Saccharomyces cerevisiae S288C: one gene and its partners. The main gene of each other region encodes a partner of the protein of the gene in region 3 in a complex. Each region holds a gene or a part of one and is shown on either strand. Other genes may lie near its edges. A codon is read from its position in the direction of its gene.

Region 1 (3,752 bases), on a different chromosome or scaffold from region 3:
ATAAAATTCTTCATCAGAAGTCCTACAAAGGAAACTGAAGAACTTTGTATGGATTTATTAAAAGGATGCATCGATCACGAAAATAATCCTGACTTAAGAGATAAAACACTGATGTATTGGAGATTGCTGTCATTAACGAAAACGTCTCGTATATCAAACGCGATAACTTTTGAATCTTTAAAATCAGTACTGGACGGAGAGTTGCCACTAATAGAAATGAACACGAAATTAGATCCCACCGTTTTGGAGGAATTGGAGCTAAACATTGGTACAATAGTATCGATTTACTTAAAACCTGTTTCTCATATCTTTAGATTGAATAAAACCAAACTGCTACCACAAAGTCCTATTTTGAATCCAAACAAAGACCTCTTGCCAGTTGTAGGTAACTCATTTCCTCCAACTGGAGCTAATAGGGACCGTCAAAATTCAGAAAGCCAGTCCTCGACGAAGTCCAGAAAGACTGCTATGATGGATGATTATGATAAGCCCGCTGAAAAAATTAATCAGTTGAAAGGTAAGCGTAAATCTAGTTCAAACAACCCCTCAAAACTATCACGGAAACCCTCAACTTTATTAAGAAAACTCTCTATGAAACGGCCCTTTTCGTGACTGCAAATGATACTAATTCCTGTATTTAAATATACTCATATTTAACGAACAATTATGATGAATGAAAAAACCTGATATAATAGACTTAACTAAGCGATCATAAAAAAATTCAAAAAGTTATTTTATAAAACAATTCAGATGTTAAACTAAAGAGTTAATGTAATATATATACAATGAACTGCGTCATAAATTCCCATAGTTCAGCTCATGGGACATTATCTACTTATAAAGACGTGGCTTGGCAGCATTTCATATATAAGGCTACTGAATGTAAATTTTTCTTCCATTGTCTTTCCCGTGTCCCGAGAACTCAATTCAAGCACTGTTCTTGGGCGTAATAAACCTTCCGGTACTACTAAAATCAGACAAAGGCAGGAAGCCTCGATTTGACCTTTTAACGGGTAAAGCTCTAAAAGTTGCTCTCTGCTCCATATTCTCGTTTTCCGTCATTTCAGTATCTTTTTCCCCTGCCTCCCTTACCTAAAGCTTCCTCTTCGGCGGCTAGTAATTGGTCTCTTTCCTTTTTGGCTCTTAGCTTCTCTGTCTTTTTTTGTTCCATAATCAGCTTCTTCTGGTTAGGGGTTCTCGCACCTTCTTCCCACCTCTGAGCTTCTTGAGCTTCTAGTTGTTGTTTCTCTAGTTGGTCCTTTTCGTAAGCTTGCCTACGTTTTCTTGCTCTTCCTGCTGCCACTTTTTTGGCAGTTTCTGAGTATCTCTTGCCAGTATTATGCATGTTCGCTTCTTCACTATGTTTGGTGGTTTCTAATGACAACTATGCGGTTAGCAAACTTCCAAAAGGCGGTTAATAATACGACTACACATTATCCTATATATATATATATATGTACGCAAGTGCTTAGATTGGAAAAAAGGGTGCAACATTCTCGATTGTTCTATTTCAGCCTGTTGATATCAATCTGTCGTTCAATGCTTTGTGGGTGTGCTTTACCCACTCTTATACAGTAGTTAAGTGGCAAAAAGGGTGTCAAAGGGAAAGGAAAACCAGAGGAAAAGCAAAATAGCCGCCAATACTAACTCTAGATTTATATCATGTTATACGATTAATCAGACGCGTCTGATTAATTTCAAAAGTTAAAATATAAACTATTTTTGAAATCCCATTGCAATAAGCGAACTATAGCTGAATCTTTCCTGCAAAAATGGAAGTGAAGGGCAATGGACGCATTGTTAACAAAGTTCAACGAGGATAGAAGTCTCCAAGATGAAAACTTGTCCCAACCACGAACGAGAGTAAGAATTGTTGACGACAATCTTTACAACAAATCGAATCCATTCCAACTATGCTATAAAAAACGTGACTACGGTTCTCAGTACTACCACATTTATCAATACCGTCTAAAGACTTTCAGAGAACGCGTCTTAAAAGAATGTGACAAGAGATGGGATGCGGGCTTTACCTTGAATGGCCAATTAGTTCTAAAAAAGGACAAAGTGTTAGATATTCAGGGAAACCAACCATGTTGGTGCGTAGGATCCATATATTGCGAGATGAAATATAAACCAAACGTACTGGACGAAGTGATCAATGATACATATGGTGCACCAGATTTAACTAAAAGTTATACTGATAAAGAGGGTGGTTCTGATGAAATTATGCTCGAAGATGAAAGTGGGAGAGTGCTTCTAGTGGGAGATTTTATTCGGTCTACACCCTTCATCACGGGTGTTGTTGTAGGTATACTGGGTATGGAAGCTGAAGCCGGGACATTTCAAGTTTTAGACATATGCTACCCCACTCCTTTACCACAAAATCCTTTCCCTGCACCAATTGCTACCTGCCCCACCAGGGGAAAAATTGCTCTTGTTTCTGGGTTAAACCTCAATAATACATCACCTGATAGGCTATTGAGATTGGAGATTTTGAGAGAATTTTTGATGGGGAGAATCAATAACAAAATTGACGACATTTCTCTAATTGGTAGATTACTGATATGCGGCAACTCTGTTGACTTCGACATTAAAAGCGTGAACAAAGACGAATTGATGATTTCTCTAACTGAGTTCAGTAAATTTCTACACAACATTTTGCCATCTATATCTGTTGATATTATGCCCGGAACCAATGATCCAAGTGACAAATCTCTACCGCAACAGCCTTTCCACAAATCATTGTTTGATAAGTCCCTAGAATCATACTTCAACGGTTCTAACAAAGAAATTTTGAATTTAGTGACCAACCCATATGAGTTTAGCTATAATGGCGTAGACGTTCTAGCCGTTTCAGGCAAAAATATCAATGATATTTGTAAATACGTAATACCATCAAATGATAACGGAGAAAGTGAAAACAAGGTCGAGGAGGGCGAGAGTAATGATTTCAAAGACGATATAGAGCATCGCCTGGACCTTATGGAATGTACAATGAAATGGCAAAACATCGCGCCCACCGCACCTGATACCTTATGGTGTTATCCGTACACTGATAAGGATCCATTTGTATTGGATAAGTGGCCCCACGTTTACATTGTGGCAAACCAGCCATATTTTGGAACAAGAGTAGTGGAAATAGGTGGTAAGAACATAAAGATAATATCTGTCCCTGAATTCAGTTCTACTGGGATGATAATATTACTGGATTTGGAAACGTTAGAAGCAGAGACGGTCAAGATTGACATTTAAATAAAACAAGGAATAATTTCCACATAGATATGCAATTAAGTTTTATATGTAAAAGTGAGCATTCATCGTTCAGCTCAAAATACGTTTCTTGTCACAGCTGGTAGAAAAACTATGAGCGTTTTTTCTTACCCGCAGTCGGAGAAAAATTTTTTCTTCGAAGAGGCGAAAAAGAGAAGAAGAGAAAGCACAAATCTGATGAAATAGTAGTATAAAATCGCATTTACAAATTTTCAACCATTGTTTATTTCCTAGGTCATTAAAGAGTAAAGTGCAATCTGTTTACTAATCAGTTTTTGTCTTCATATTTTTGTGTCTTTTCTGCTGCCTCACGCACCTTCTATAATACACCAAATAATGTCCACTTCTCATTGCAGATTTTATGAAAACAAATACCCAGAAATTGACGATATCGTCATGGTTAACGTCCAGCAGATTGCTGAAATGGGTGCTTATGTTAAATTGTTAGAATATGACAACATTGAAGGTATGATTCTACTAAG
Region 2 (3,255 bases), on a different chromosome or scaffold from region 3:
TGAGGGACAGAGAAGATTGGGGCCAAGCGCTGCGCCTATTGCTTTTGCTGATTGAATTCCCTTATTTACCAAAACATTACTTGGTTTTGCTTGTGGCGAAATTCCTGTACCCAATTTTCCTTTTAGATGATAAGAAGCTAATGGATGAAGATTCAGTGGCGACAGTCATTGAAGTTATAGAAACTAAATGGGATGACGCTGATGAAAAAAGTTCAAACTTATATGAAACCATTATTGAAGCAGATAAAAGCTTACCTAGTAGCATGGCAACACTTTTGAAAAATTTAAGAAAGAAACTAAATTTCAAATTATGTCAAGCGTTCATGTAAATCAGTATAGTAATGTCCTTCGGATGGTATATTAGGATATATGACGAAAATAAGTAAATTTAAACAACAATATATATTTATATTGATCTATTTTTCTATCACGTAAGTTGACATTTGTATTATACATTACATCACAATTAGTAATGGAAAGTGTTTGGAAAAAAAAGAAGATTATTTTGCCTTTCTTTTGAAAAAGCTTTCCAATGTTCCTTGCTTTTTTAACCTTTTATTCGATGACGGCGTTTCTTGCTTTTTTGAAGACGACAATGCCCTTTTTACCACGGGTGATGGCTTGCGTGGTGGTGTTGAAGTTGCGGGTCTCTTTGTCACAATATATCCATCCTCATCAATAAAAGAGGAGGGCTCTTCTTCAGATTTAGGTTCCTTTGAATGTTCTGTTTCAGAAGGCTTTGTTTGCTGTATTTTAGGTACATCCATAAGTGAATCTTCTGCTGTCGTTTCCAACAAGTCTTCTAAATCATCGTTGTTTTTGTCCTTATCGTTGCTGTCAGTTTCTTTAGGTGAGTTGGGCTTGGACCCTCCATTTACTTCCTCTGTATCTAAGTCATCTTCGACAAAAAGATTATTTAACTCTTTCATTTGAGCTTCTCTTTCAGGGTTCTGTTTATTTATTTTTTGCAAGTTCTCCTCTTTCCTTTTACGTAACTCATTTTGTCTAGAGGTTTCCTTGTCATCTCTATCCTTTTTCATCTTAGCCAGCAGTGCAGTAGACCTGAGACCCATGTCTTTAGATTTGGATTTCCTTCCGGTTGTTTCTTCTGGCGTGGTCTTTGATCTTGCTGTAGGCCTTACCAAAGGTTTAGATTTCTCTTCTAACGTCTTAGTCCTCTCTATAATTTTCGATGATTCAGAAACTTTAAGTTCGTATGAATTTTTAATGGTTAAACAATCCTTTTGATCGATAATGTCGTAATATGGTATGAAGCTGTCCATGGGATTGAAGGCATAGATGAAACAATCAATTATTGAATCTTGCTGTGGAATGTTGGAAAGATCATGAATAATTTTAATAGTTTGATCTTTGTAGCAGCATATCACTACGCAGTTGTATTTGGCATTGGTGGTCTGTTTGTAATAGTCAAACATTAATTTCTTGGCCATGGATGGGCCGATCTTCAAGTGGTGAATTAGATCCGTAAAAAGGACGGGCTTTACCTCAGTGAAGAGCTTCTCATTGATAAAATATGACGCCTTTTGATCCATTAATTACCGATTGAGTTAACTAAAGCCTATTTCTGGTTGTTAGTTAATGTGAAATATTATTTCGAGCTGATCTGATTGCGATGTAACGAACTTCTGCGTACTTTTCAAAATTAAGAGTTTCGCGTGTTTAACTCATACGCGTTTACTACTTCCGTCGGAAAGTTACACCGTAGTGGAAAATAGACCTATTCGTTAGTATAACCTTATTAAGGTACTTCCATTAATGAAGTGTTCTATATTGAGGCATACTGATCGAGAATTTTCATAAGGTGAAACGATAAAAATATAAAAATTAAGCTTAGCGCCGCTCGGTTTCGATCCGAGGACATCAGGGTTATGAGCCCTGCGCGCTTCCACTGCGCCACGGCGCTTAACTTTTATGAATATTTTAGACTTAATAAAGATTCATATTGTAAAATTAAAAACAACTTGCACACTGAGCTGTGTTAGAATGAAATCCTACTATAATCCATAGTAGTATTCATGTCACTAGCACATTACAAAATATGCCATAGGAAGATGACGTAAAGATTGAGAACTAGTCATCAGATATAATAGAAGCTGAAAAGCAAGAATTGATAATATCGGACGCTATCCTACAATAGCAGCGCAGTTGCATAATTTGTTATGTGTCGTCTTTATTGTGTGTAAAGCTTTATACACCTTTACCTTTGTGTAGAAGACAAAGACATTGTTGTTATCACTATGTCCACATTCGCTACGAGGATATTTTCAACATATCTAGTTGAAATACAAATCTCAAGCCACTATAAAAACTGCGGAATCAAACAAATGTACAATACATTATCCTACTAGAGACTAATTTCTCAAGGTTTGCAATCCCATCTCTTTTCATGAGGTATATTGCGGCACAGAATGGTTGTACGACCATTGCTCAACGTTTCCGCTCATAGATCGATTCAAATAAGATTATAGACATGTGGCGATTCAATGCCAATCCTTATCCCGAAATTACGGATGTATTCAGCCAACTTTGCCTATCTACATTATTCTGTCAACTAGAGGCTAAAGACACGAATTTCTTGGCATTTTTTGTTTGAAAACTTGAAATGGAAGAAAGACAGAAAGTAATTTTATGTAATCTATTATATTTAAGTAGTTCTAAAAAAAAGGAGAAATCGACGCCAGATTTCCCACCTTGAGTAGAGTATCATACTATATAATATCAATGTACGGTTCACGCACCCAGTTGGCTTAGTCTGTTGAGGGGATGAGTAATTGTTATATATTAACCAAAAAGGGAATCATCTTCGTTGAAATCTTTTTTGAAAAACCATTTAAAAATAACAATACTAGAATATATGATAAGACCACCGATCATGCACATGATACAACTCAAATGGCCAATCAATTGGCAATGATAGAAAACAACAGGGAGTGCTATACCGCTTGTCACCAGCATTCCTGTAAGGAAGTGAGCCAGATCTTGGCCAGTGTTTGATGAATCGGACATGAAGTCAGATGTGTGATATTTATTTCCTGCATTGAAAATTGTGTTTGGTATTGGGGCAAGCAAAAAGATCAAAATATCGAATAGTGGGTAGTAATTATGGAATAATGCGCAGCTTAGTATGACCAAAAGGAATCCCAATGCGAGGAATCCTGACAGAGAAATAATCTTTGTCAATGGTGACACTTTGAATTCCATCATAACCGTCTGGGATTTTATGTATTAAGATTC
Region 3 (8,152 bases):
GGCAAGAGTCAATGAATCGTTTACATTTCAAATTTCCAATGATACCTATAAATCGTCTGTAGACAAGACAGCTCAAATAACATACAATTGCTTCGACTTACCGAGCTGGCTTTCGTTTGACTCTAGTTCTAGAACGTTCTCAGGTGAACCTTCTTCTGACTTACTATCTGATGCGAACACCACGTTGTATTTCAATGTAATACTCGAGGGTACGGACTCTGCCGACAGCACGTCTTTGAACAATACATACCAATTTGTTGTTACAAACCGTCCATCCATCTCGCTATCGTCAGATTTCAATCTATTGGCGTTGTTAAAAAACTATGGTTATACTAACGGCAAAAACGCTCTGAAACTAGATCCTAATGAAGTCTTCAACGTGACTTTTGACCGTTCAATGTTCACTAACGAAGAATCCATTGTGTCGTATTACGGACGTTCTCAGTTGTATAATGCGCCGTTACCCAATTGGCTGTTCTTCGATTCTGGCGAGTTGAAGTTTACTGGGACGGCACCGGTGATAAACTCGGCGATTGCTCCAGAAACAAGCTACAGTTTTGTCATCATCGCTACAGACATTGAAGGATTTTCTGCCGTTGAGGTAGAATTCGAATTAGTCATCGGGGCTCACCAGTTAACTACCTCTATTCAAAATAGTTTGATAATCAACGTTACTGACACAGGTAACGTTTCATATGACTTACCTCTAAACTATGTTTATCTCGATGACGATCCTATTTCTTCTGATAAATTGGGTTCTATAAACTTATTGGATGCTCCAGACTGGGTGGCATTAGATAATGCTACCATTTCCGGGTCTGTCCCAGATGAATTACTCGGTAAGAACTCCAATCCTGCCAATTTTTCTGTGTCCATTTATGATACTTATGGTGATGTGATTTATTTCAACTTCGAAGTTGTCTCCACAACGGATTTGTTTGCCATTAGTTCTCTTCCCAATATTAACGCTACAAGGGGTGAATGGTTCTCCTACTATTTTTTGCCTTCTCAGTTTACAGACTACGTGAATACAAACGTTTCATTAGAGTTTACTAATTCAAGCCAAGACCATGACTGGGTGAAATTCCAATCATCTAATTTAACATTAGCTGGAGAAGTGCCCAAGAATTTCGACAAGCTTTCATTAGGTTTGAAAGCGAACCAAGGTTCACAATCTCAAGAGCTATATTTTAACATCATTGGCATGGATTCAAAGATAACTCACTCAAACCACAGTGCGAATGCAACGTCCACAAGAAGTTCTCACCACTCCACCTCAACAAGTTCTTACACATCTTCTACTTACACTGCAAAAATTTCTTCTACCTCCGCTGCTGCTACTTCTTCTGCTCCAGCAGCGCTGCCAGCAGCCAATAAAACTTCATCTCACAATAAAAAAGCAGTAGCAATTGCGTGCGGTGTTGCTATCCCATTAGGCGTTATCCTAGTAGCTCTCATTTGCTTCCTAATATTCTGGAGACGCAGAAGGGAAAATCCAGACGATGAAAACTTACCGCATGCTATTAGTGGACCTGATTTGAATAATCCTGCAAATAAACCAAATCAAGAAAACGCTACACCTTTGAACAACCCCTTTGATGATGATGCTTCCTCGTACGATGATACTTCAATAGCAAGAAGATTGGCTGCTTTGAACACTTTGAAATTGGATAACCACTCTGCCACTGAATCTGATATTTCCAGCGTGGATGAAAAGAGAGATTCTCTATCAGGTATGAATACATACAATGATCAGTTCCAATCCCAAAGTAAAGAAGAATTATTAGCAAAACCCCCAGTACAGCCTCCAGAGAGCCCGTTCTTTGACCCACAGAATAGGTCTTCTTCTGTGTATATGGATAGTGAACCAGCAGTAAATAAATCCTGGCGATATACTGGCAACCTGTCACCAGTCTCTGATATTGTCAGAGACAGTTACGGATCACAAAAAACTGTTGATACAGAAAAACTTTTCGATTTAGAAGCACCAGAGAAGGAAAAACGTACGTCAAGGGATGTCACTATGTCTTCACTGGACCCTTGGAACAGCAATATTAGCCCTTCTCCCGTAAGAAAATCAGTAACACCATCACCATATAACGTAACGAAGCATCGTAACCGCCACTTACAAAATATTCAAGACTCTCAAAGCGGTAAAAACGGAATCACTCCCACAACAATGTCAACTTCATCTTCTGACGATTTTGTTCCGGTTAAAGATGGTGAAAATTTTTGCTGGGTCCATAGCATGGAACCAGACAGAAGACCAAGTAAGAAAAGGTTAGTAGATTTTTCAAATAAGAGTAATGTCAATGTTGGTCAAGTTAAGGACATTCACGGACGCATCCCAGAAATGCTGTGATTATACGCAACGATATTTTGCTTAATTTTATTTTCCTGTTTTATTTTTTATTAGTGGTTTACAGATACCCTATATTTTATTTAGTTTTTATACTTAGAGACATTTAATTTTAATTCCATTCTTCAAATTTCATTTTTGCACTTAAAACAAAGATCCAAAAATGCTCTCGCCCTCTTCATATTGAGAATACACTCCATTCAAAATTTTGTCGTCACCGCTGATTAATTTTTCACTAAACTGATGAATAATCAAAGGCCCCACGTCAGAACCGACTAAAGAAGTGAGTTTTATTTTAGGAGGTTGAAAACCATTATTGTCTGGTAAATTTTCATCTTCTTGACATTTAACCCAGTTTGAATCCCTTTCAATTTCTGCTTTTTCCTCCAAACTATCGACCCTCCTGTTTCTGTCCAACTTATGTCCTAGTTCCAATTCGATCGCATTAATAACTGCTTCAAATGTTATTGTGTCATCGTTGACTTTAGGTAATTTCTCCAAATGCATAATCAAACTATTTAAGGAAGATCGGAATTCGTCGAACACTTCAGTTTCCGTAATGATCTGATCGTCTTTATCCACATGTTGTAATTCACTAAAATCTAAAACGTATTTTTCAATGCATAAATCGTTCTTTTTATTAATAATGCAGATGGAAAATCTGTAAACGTGCGTTAATTTAGAAAGAACATCCAGTATAAGTTCTTCTATATAGTCAATTAAAGCAGGATGCCTATTAATGGGAACGAACTGCGGCAAGTTGAATGACTGGTAAGTAGTGTAGTCGAATGACTGAGGTGGGTATACATTTCTATAAAATAAAATCAAATTAATGTAGCATTTTAAGTATACCCTCAGCCACTTCTCTACCCATCTATTCATAAAGCTGACGCAACGATTACTATTTTTTTTTTCTTCTTGGATCTCAGTCGTCGCAAAAACGTATACCTTCTTTTTCCGACCTTTTTTTTAGCTTTCTGGAAAAGTTTATATTAGTTAAACAGGGTCTAGTCTTAGTGTGAAAGCTAGTGGTTTCGATTGACTGATATTAAGAAAGTGGAAATTAAATTAGTAGTGTAGACGTATATGCATATGTATTTCTCGCCTGTTTATGTTTCTACGTACTTTTGATTTATAGCAAGGGGAAAAGAAATACATACTATTTTTTGGTAAAGGTGAAAGCATAATGTAAAAGCTAGAATAAAATGGACGAAATAAAGAGAGGCTTAGTTCATCTTTTTTCCAAAAAGCACCCAATGATAATAACTAAAATGAAAAGGATTTGCCATCTGTCAGCAACATCAGTTGTGTGAGCAATAATAAAATCATCACCTCCGTTGCCTTTAGCGCGTTTGTCGTTTGTATCTTCCGTAATTTTAGTCTTATCAATGGGAATCATAAATTTTCCAATGAATTAGCAATTTCGTCCAATTCTTTTTGAGCTTCTTCATATTTGCTTTGGAATTCTTCGCACTTCTTTTCCCATTCATCTCTTTCTTCTTCCAAAGCAACGATCCTTCTACCCATTTGCTCAGAGTTCAAATCGGCCTCTTTCAGTTTATCCATTGCTTCCTTCAGTTTGGCTTCACTGTCTTCTAGCTGTTGTTCTAGATCCTGGTTTTTCTTGGTGTAGTTCTCATTATTAGATCTCAAGTTATTGGAGTCTTCAGCCAATTGCTTTGTATCAGACAATTGACTCTCTAACTTCTCCACTTCACTGTCGAGTTGCTCGTTTTTAGCGGACAAAGATTTAATCTCGTTTTCTTTTTCAGTGTTAGATTGCTCTAATTCTTTGAGCTGTTCTCTCAGCTCCTCATATTTTTCTTGCCATGACTCAGATTCTAATTTTAAGCTATTCAATTTCTCTTTGATCTTCTCCATTTTGCTAATTGCTATTTTAGATGCTTTCTCAACCTCATGAGAAAAAAATTACTAGATTAATATTCCTTATGTTTACATTCTTTTATACCAACCTATTATTGTTGAATCTACAGGTTTTTCGTAGTATATGACAATAATAACTCGAATTCTGCTAAGAGAACATCGTTTATAGTACTATTTTAGAAGACTACTAAATCTACGTACGATAGTGTGTTGAAATACTTGTAAAAAATCAGACCAAGGAGGCCAAGTCTCTTCTTATAGTCTTTCTGGACTCTTCATCTTGCTGGACAGAGGCCCAGATGTCGTCCAAAGATAACAAGCTTTGACCCAACTTCTCTTTCTCCAAATTAATAAACTTTTCTATCTTCTGTGGCTCGTCTGCTACAAACATTTGAAAGATTATCAGGGAAATACTCCTTAACGCCTTGTGTAGATGATCCCCCGTGGTGGTACCTTTCCTTGTAGCCTTCCGTGCCCATTGGTCAAAATTGCCCATATACCACTCCCAGATCGTTTCACGAACGACTTGGTCTTGAGGTTTCTCGTTTTTGTTCAGCCTCTTCTTAAAGTTGTAATTAAATCCGAATAATGCCAGTTCCATCCCCTCTGACTCAATATTGGAAGTGATAAAATTCAAAGTTTTTTTCACGATATCAGAATCTAAACAGAATCCAAGAGATTCTATTGCACCGTTTTGAATCAACATGGCGGTTTCGCTACTGTTTTGGTCATACATATTAATGACATGGTTTGTGATACCAGTACAGGAACTGCGTTTCACCAAATCGAATATTTTCTTCCACTGCTTGATGTTTGCACAATGTTGCGATACGACGACAAGGATTGAGTTCACTAATTCTAACGGTACGCTCGAACGTGGGCCCTGTAATAGATGTTTAAAATAAATTTGACACAATTCAGCACATTTTGCGGAGTTTTTATTTAAAAACAAGACTTGAGACATGACTTTCAACTCGTGAGGGTTTGTGCTTTTATCAAATTCACCGTGGGGCCAATCAATCTTATTGAAAAGGGGAATGACAATTTTTTTCTTTAAGAAAGATTGTAATTTAGAGCTCGTTAAACTGGCACGATCGATCGTTTGCAGAACTTCCAACCCCTTGGAAAGAGGATCCCAATATTTTGATGCAATCTTTGTGGAAGGAGAAGCGATATGGTTTAGTATCTTAAAGAGACCGTGCAAATGAATAGAATTCTGGAAACCCTCATCTCCAATAAACTGCGACAAGTCTAAGAAAATCTTCCGAAGGTCAATCTCGGATAACGTCTCCTCAGTTATTTTATCATTAATCAATGCATAGCACTCTTCGGACTCATATGAAACGCGGTAATAACCTTGGGCTAAATGGTTAATTACTAAGATAGGATAATCGAACTTTAAGGTCCTATCCGTCAATAGTACATTTTTAGTATCCATTTTACCATCTGGCAGAACCCCGAATAAGGGTACCTGATATGGGACATCTTCTAACTGATCCTTTTCTTCAGTAGATAATTGATTGATAAATCTGTGTTGAGTCAATTTTGTTTGCGTTTTCCCGTCTTTCTCTTCTACTTCGACCTTAACGACAGGTAAGCCTGGCGTTCTTGTCCAAGATGAAACAAAGTTTGTAATATTTTGAGACTTCAAAAATTTTCCGATATGATTCCATATATCCATTGGTTTGACGCTTCTCGCATGAAATGTTTTAGTATCTTCAAATACACTTTCCAGGCCCTTTTGTAGATGAGATTCGCCTGTAGCCAATTGCAGGGACCTCAGCATGATAATACCCTTTGTGTATGCCTCAGGATCAAAAATATCGGAGGTTTGAGAATCTATGCCAGTGTTCCGTTGCGCAATCTGAAATATGCTTCTTCCATTAACGTCAGCTGCATCTCTGCACATGGTCGGCTCCACTTGCTGTAGTAAATAAGGTTCCGAGGTCCAATAATGGGATAGGTCACCATTCTGTTCTAGTATGTGGCAAGCTAACCAAGTAGCGAAAGACTCATTAAACCAAAGAGATTCCCACGAGTCAAAAGATATGTAGTTGCCCATCCATTGATGAACGAGTTCGTGGACAATGAGTTGCTGTGCTTGCTCTCTGACGGTTTCATTGGCCAAGGCATTTGGTGGTATGAGCAGGTGGTTTAGTTGGATGGTGATCATACCAAAGTTCTCCATTGCCATGTCACTTAAATATGGTAGTAGGACGAAATCTAACTTTGGCAGAGGGTATGGACATTTAAAATAGGATTCCAACAAAGGTAGATATTTCTGGACTGTATCTAAAGTGAAAGCTGCATTAGCAATATCCCAAGGTGCATAAATTGAAACGGGAATAGTCCTATCACCTTCCAACTTGATTTCCGTTTTCAAAAATTCTAAATCACCAATAGAAAAACCAAATACGGAAGTAGTCATCAAAGGTGTCTTGGCAAATTTCACCAAATGTTTTTGAGAACTATCCAAAGCTTCGACCATCTCTACAGGAGTATTGGAAACGGCTTTATATTGTGCATCCGTTGCAATGTTCAATTGAAAAGTGGACTTGTTTGAAGGCTCGTCAATACATGGGAAAATATTGCTAGCGGAAAACGGTTGGCAGTGAGTAGCAACGACGTGATTATTGGCAGTACCGGTTTTACGATCCATAAAATTGGTTTTGAAAATACCAAAAGTCTTATCATGATGTGTTTTTATGTCACGAATTTTACCCACGTATTGCACGGACAAAATCAGAGGGCAATCGTTGGACAATTGAATAGGAGATTCAGAGTTGAAAATCGACAAATGCTTTCCAGTGTCCTGAGAAATTTTTAGATCAAACTTAGTAGACCCTATGGTGGCATGTGCAGACAACACAATCAAATCCTTGGAATGTAACTTGAACTGGGTAAAACTGTCTTCGATAGAAGCTAAGGTGGTGGAGTTCGGATTGAATTTCAAATGGATTATGGCGGATCCTTTGAAATTGGGCGACGACTGCTTAGGGTCAATTTCTAGACGCAACTCATAGTGACTAGGCACCACCGGATTCTCTAAAGATAACAAATTATCAGACATGATGGTTAGTGATGATCAACCTGGCGTTATATATCCTTTACACGTCTTCGGACCTTTTTTTTGTATAGCACATCCAGGAATGGTTTGACTGCAAAACTCGTTTTTCACTGAAAAATTACCGGCGAATTGTATAATAGAAAGGATCGATTTATACTAAAGAAAAGAAGGATTAATATACAAGACTACAACCAAGGGTGGTACCTCACTTGAAGGGGGTTCTCAAAGTACTCGAGAATTTTGATATTCTGTCCTGTGTGTGCTGAGCCGTTCCAGCCAGTCTTGTTCCAGAAATATGTTGACAAAATTGAAGTTCGTAAATATATATACATTTCATATAATAATTGACAAGCTGATACATACGGTGTGCGGACGGTTACATTAATGCAGGAATCTATAAATGCTATGGCCAGCTGGCGTCCTTCTGTTATGCAGATTTCTTAAAATAATTGGCATATTGGTGGTAAACATGAAATGTGAAGACGTTGCCCCTCGTCATAGGTAAGCGGTGGTCATCACAACCATCAGCGGTGACAATAACACAGCAAACAGTCTTGTTTGACTCTCCTGCCTGCATGGTGTTTGAAAGTGAATCGTCAGGATTTGCAACAACCAATAGTGTACTGCTATTCGCAGGAGCACAAGCTCGCCGGTGGCCCGTGTGGGTTAAGGGAGGAGTTTGTTGACCCTTATTTTGTCGAGTTCCTTGAAGAGGAGTATATATAAGGGGAAACGGTTCTTGCTAAAGTCCTGCTTCTTTGCCCTTTCTTGAAATAAAGGGTATTTTTGATTGGCCAGTAACGTTAATCATTTAATAAAACAAGCAGATAAGGATGTCATCA

What was found.
Region 1: the proteins of REV7 (region 3) and POL31 are in contact, whole or in part, in a cryo-EM structure (PDB 7LXD), measured with the Saccharomyces cerevisiae proteins. Residues at the interface, in NP_012127.1 of Saccharomyces cerevisiae: Asp33 (codon at 3,145), Tyr34 (codon at 3,142), Thr35 (codon at 3,139), Thr36 (codon at 3,136), Tyr37 (codon at 3,133), Ser39 (codon at 3,127), Phe40 (codon at 3,124), Asn41 (codon at 3,121), Phe45 (codon at 3,109); in NP_012539.1 of Saccharomyces cerevisiae: Asn224 (codon at 2,458), Thr225 (codon at 2,461), Ser226 (codon at 2,464), Pro227 (codon at 2,467), Leu230 (codon at 2,476), Asn272 (codon at 2,602), Asp274 (codon at 2,608), Glu275 (codon at 2,611), Ile278 (codon at 2,620).
Region 2: the proteins of REV7 (region 3) and POL32 are in contact, whole or in part, in a cryo-EM structure (PDB 7LXD), measured with the Saccharomyces cerevisiae proteins. Residues at the interface, in NP_012127.1 of Saccharomyces cerevisiae: Tyr23 (codon at 3,175), Tyr34 (codon at 3,142), Pro43 (codon at 3,115), Gln44 (codon at 3,112), Phe45 (codon at 3,109), Thr111 (codon at 2,911), Asp115 (codon at 2,899), Arg118 (codon at 2,890), Ser119 (codon at 2,887), Asn122 (codon at 2,878), Ser123 (codon at 2,875), Ile125 (codon at 2,869), Met126 (codon at 2,866), Glu129 (codon at 2,857), Lys130 (codon at 2,854), Val203 (codon at 2,635); in NP_012577.1 of Saccharomyces cerevisiae: Phe14 (codon at 1,514), Thr15 (codon at 1,511), Glu16 (codon at 1,508), Val17 (codon at 1,505), Lys18 (codon at 1,502), Lys51 (codon at 1,403), Pro90 (codon at 1,286), Met91 (codon at 1,283), Asp92 (codon at 1,280), Ile95 (codon at 1,271), Pro96 (codon at 1,268), Tyr97 (codon at 1,265), Asp99 (codon at 1,259).

The regions. Positions count from the first base shown.
Region 1 is NC_001142.9:447,414-451,165, forward strand, and holds POL31 (DNA-directed DNA polymerase delta subunit POL31), read left to right. Parts: upstream 1-1,788; coding exon 1,789-3,252; downstream 3,253-3,752. Other genes in the region: APL1 (Apl1p), read left to right, coding at 1-612; LSO1 (Lso1p), read right to left, coding at 1,064-1,345; SUI2 (translation initiation factor eIF2 subunit alpha), read left to right, coding at 3,607-3,752. UniProt on the Saccharomyces cerevisiae protein: DNA polymerase delta (DNA polymerase III) participates in chromosomal DNA replication.
Region 2 is NC_001142.9:515,961-519,215, forward strand, and holds POL32 (DNA polymerase delta subunit POL32), read right to left. Parts: upstream 1,554-3,255; coding exon 501-1,553; downstream 1-500. Other genes in the region: NUP85 (Nup85p), read left to right, coding at 1-329; VPS55 (Vps55p), read right to left, coding at 2,803-3,225. UniProt on the Saccharomyces cerevisiae protein: DNA polymerase delta (DNA polymerase III) participates in chromosomal DNA replication.
Region 3 is NC_001141.2:85,476-93,627, forward strand, and holds REV7 (Rev7p), read right to left. Parts: upstream 3,242-8,152; coding exon 2,504-3,241; downstream 1-2,503. Other genes in the region: AXL2 (Axl2p), read left to right, coding at 1-2,362; tropomyosin TPM2, read right to left, coding at 3,755-4,240; TMA108 (Tma108p), read right to left, coding at 4,473-7,313; OM45 (Om45p), read left to right, coding at 8,144-8,152. UniProt on the Saccharomyces cerevisiae protein: Required for DNA damage induced mutagenesis. Involved in DNA repair, mitochondrial DNA repair and translesion synthesis. Has a role in the bypass of abasic (AP) sites.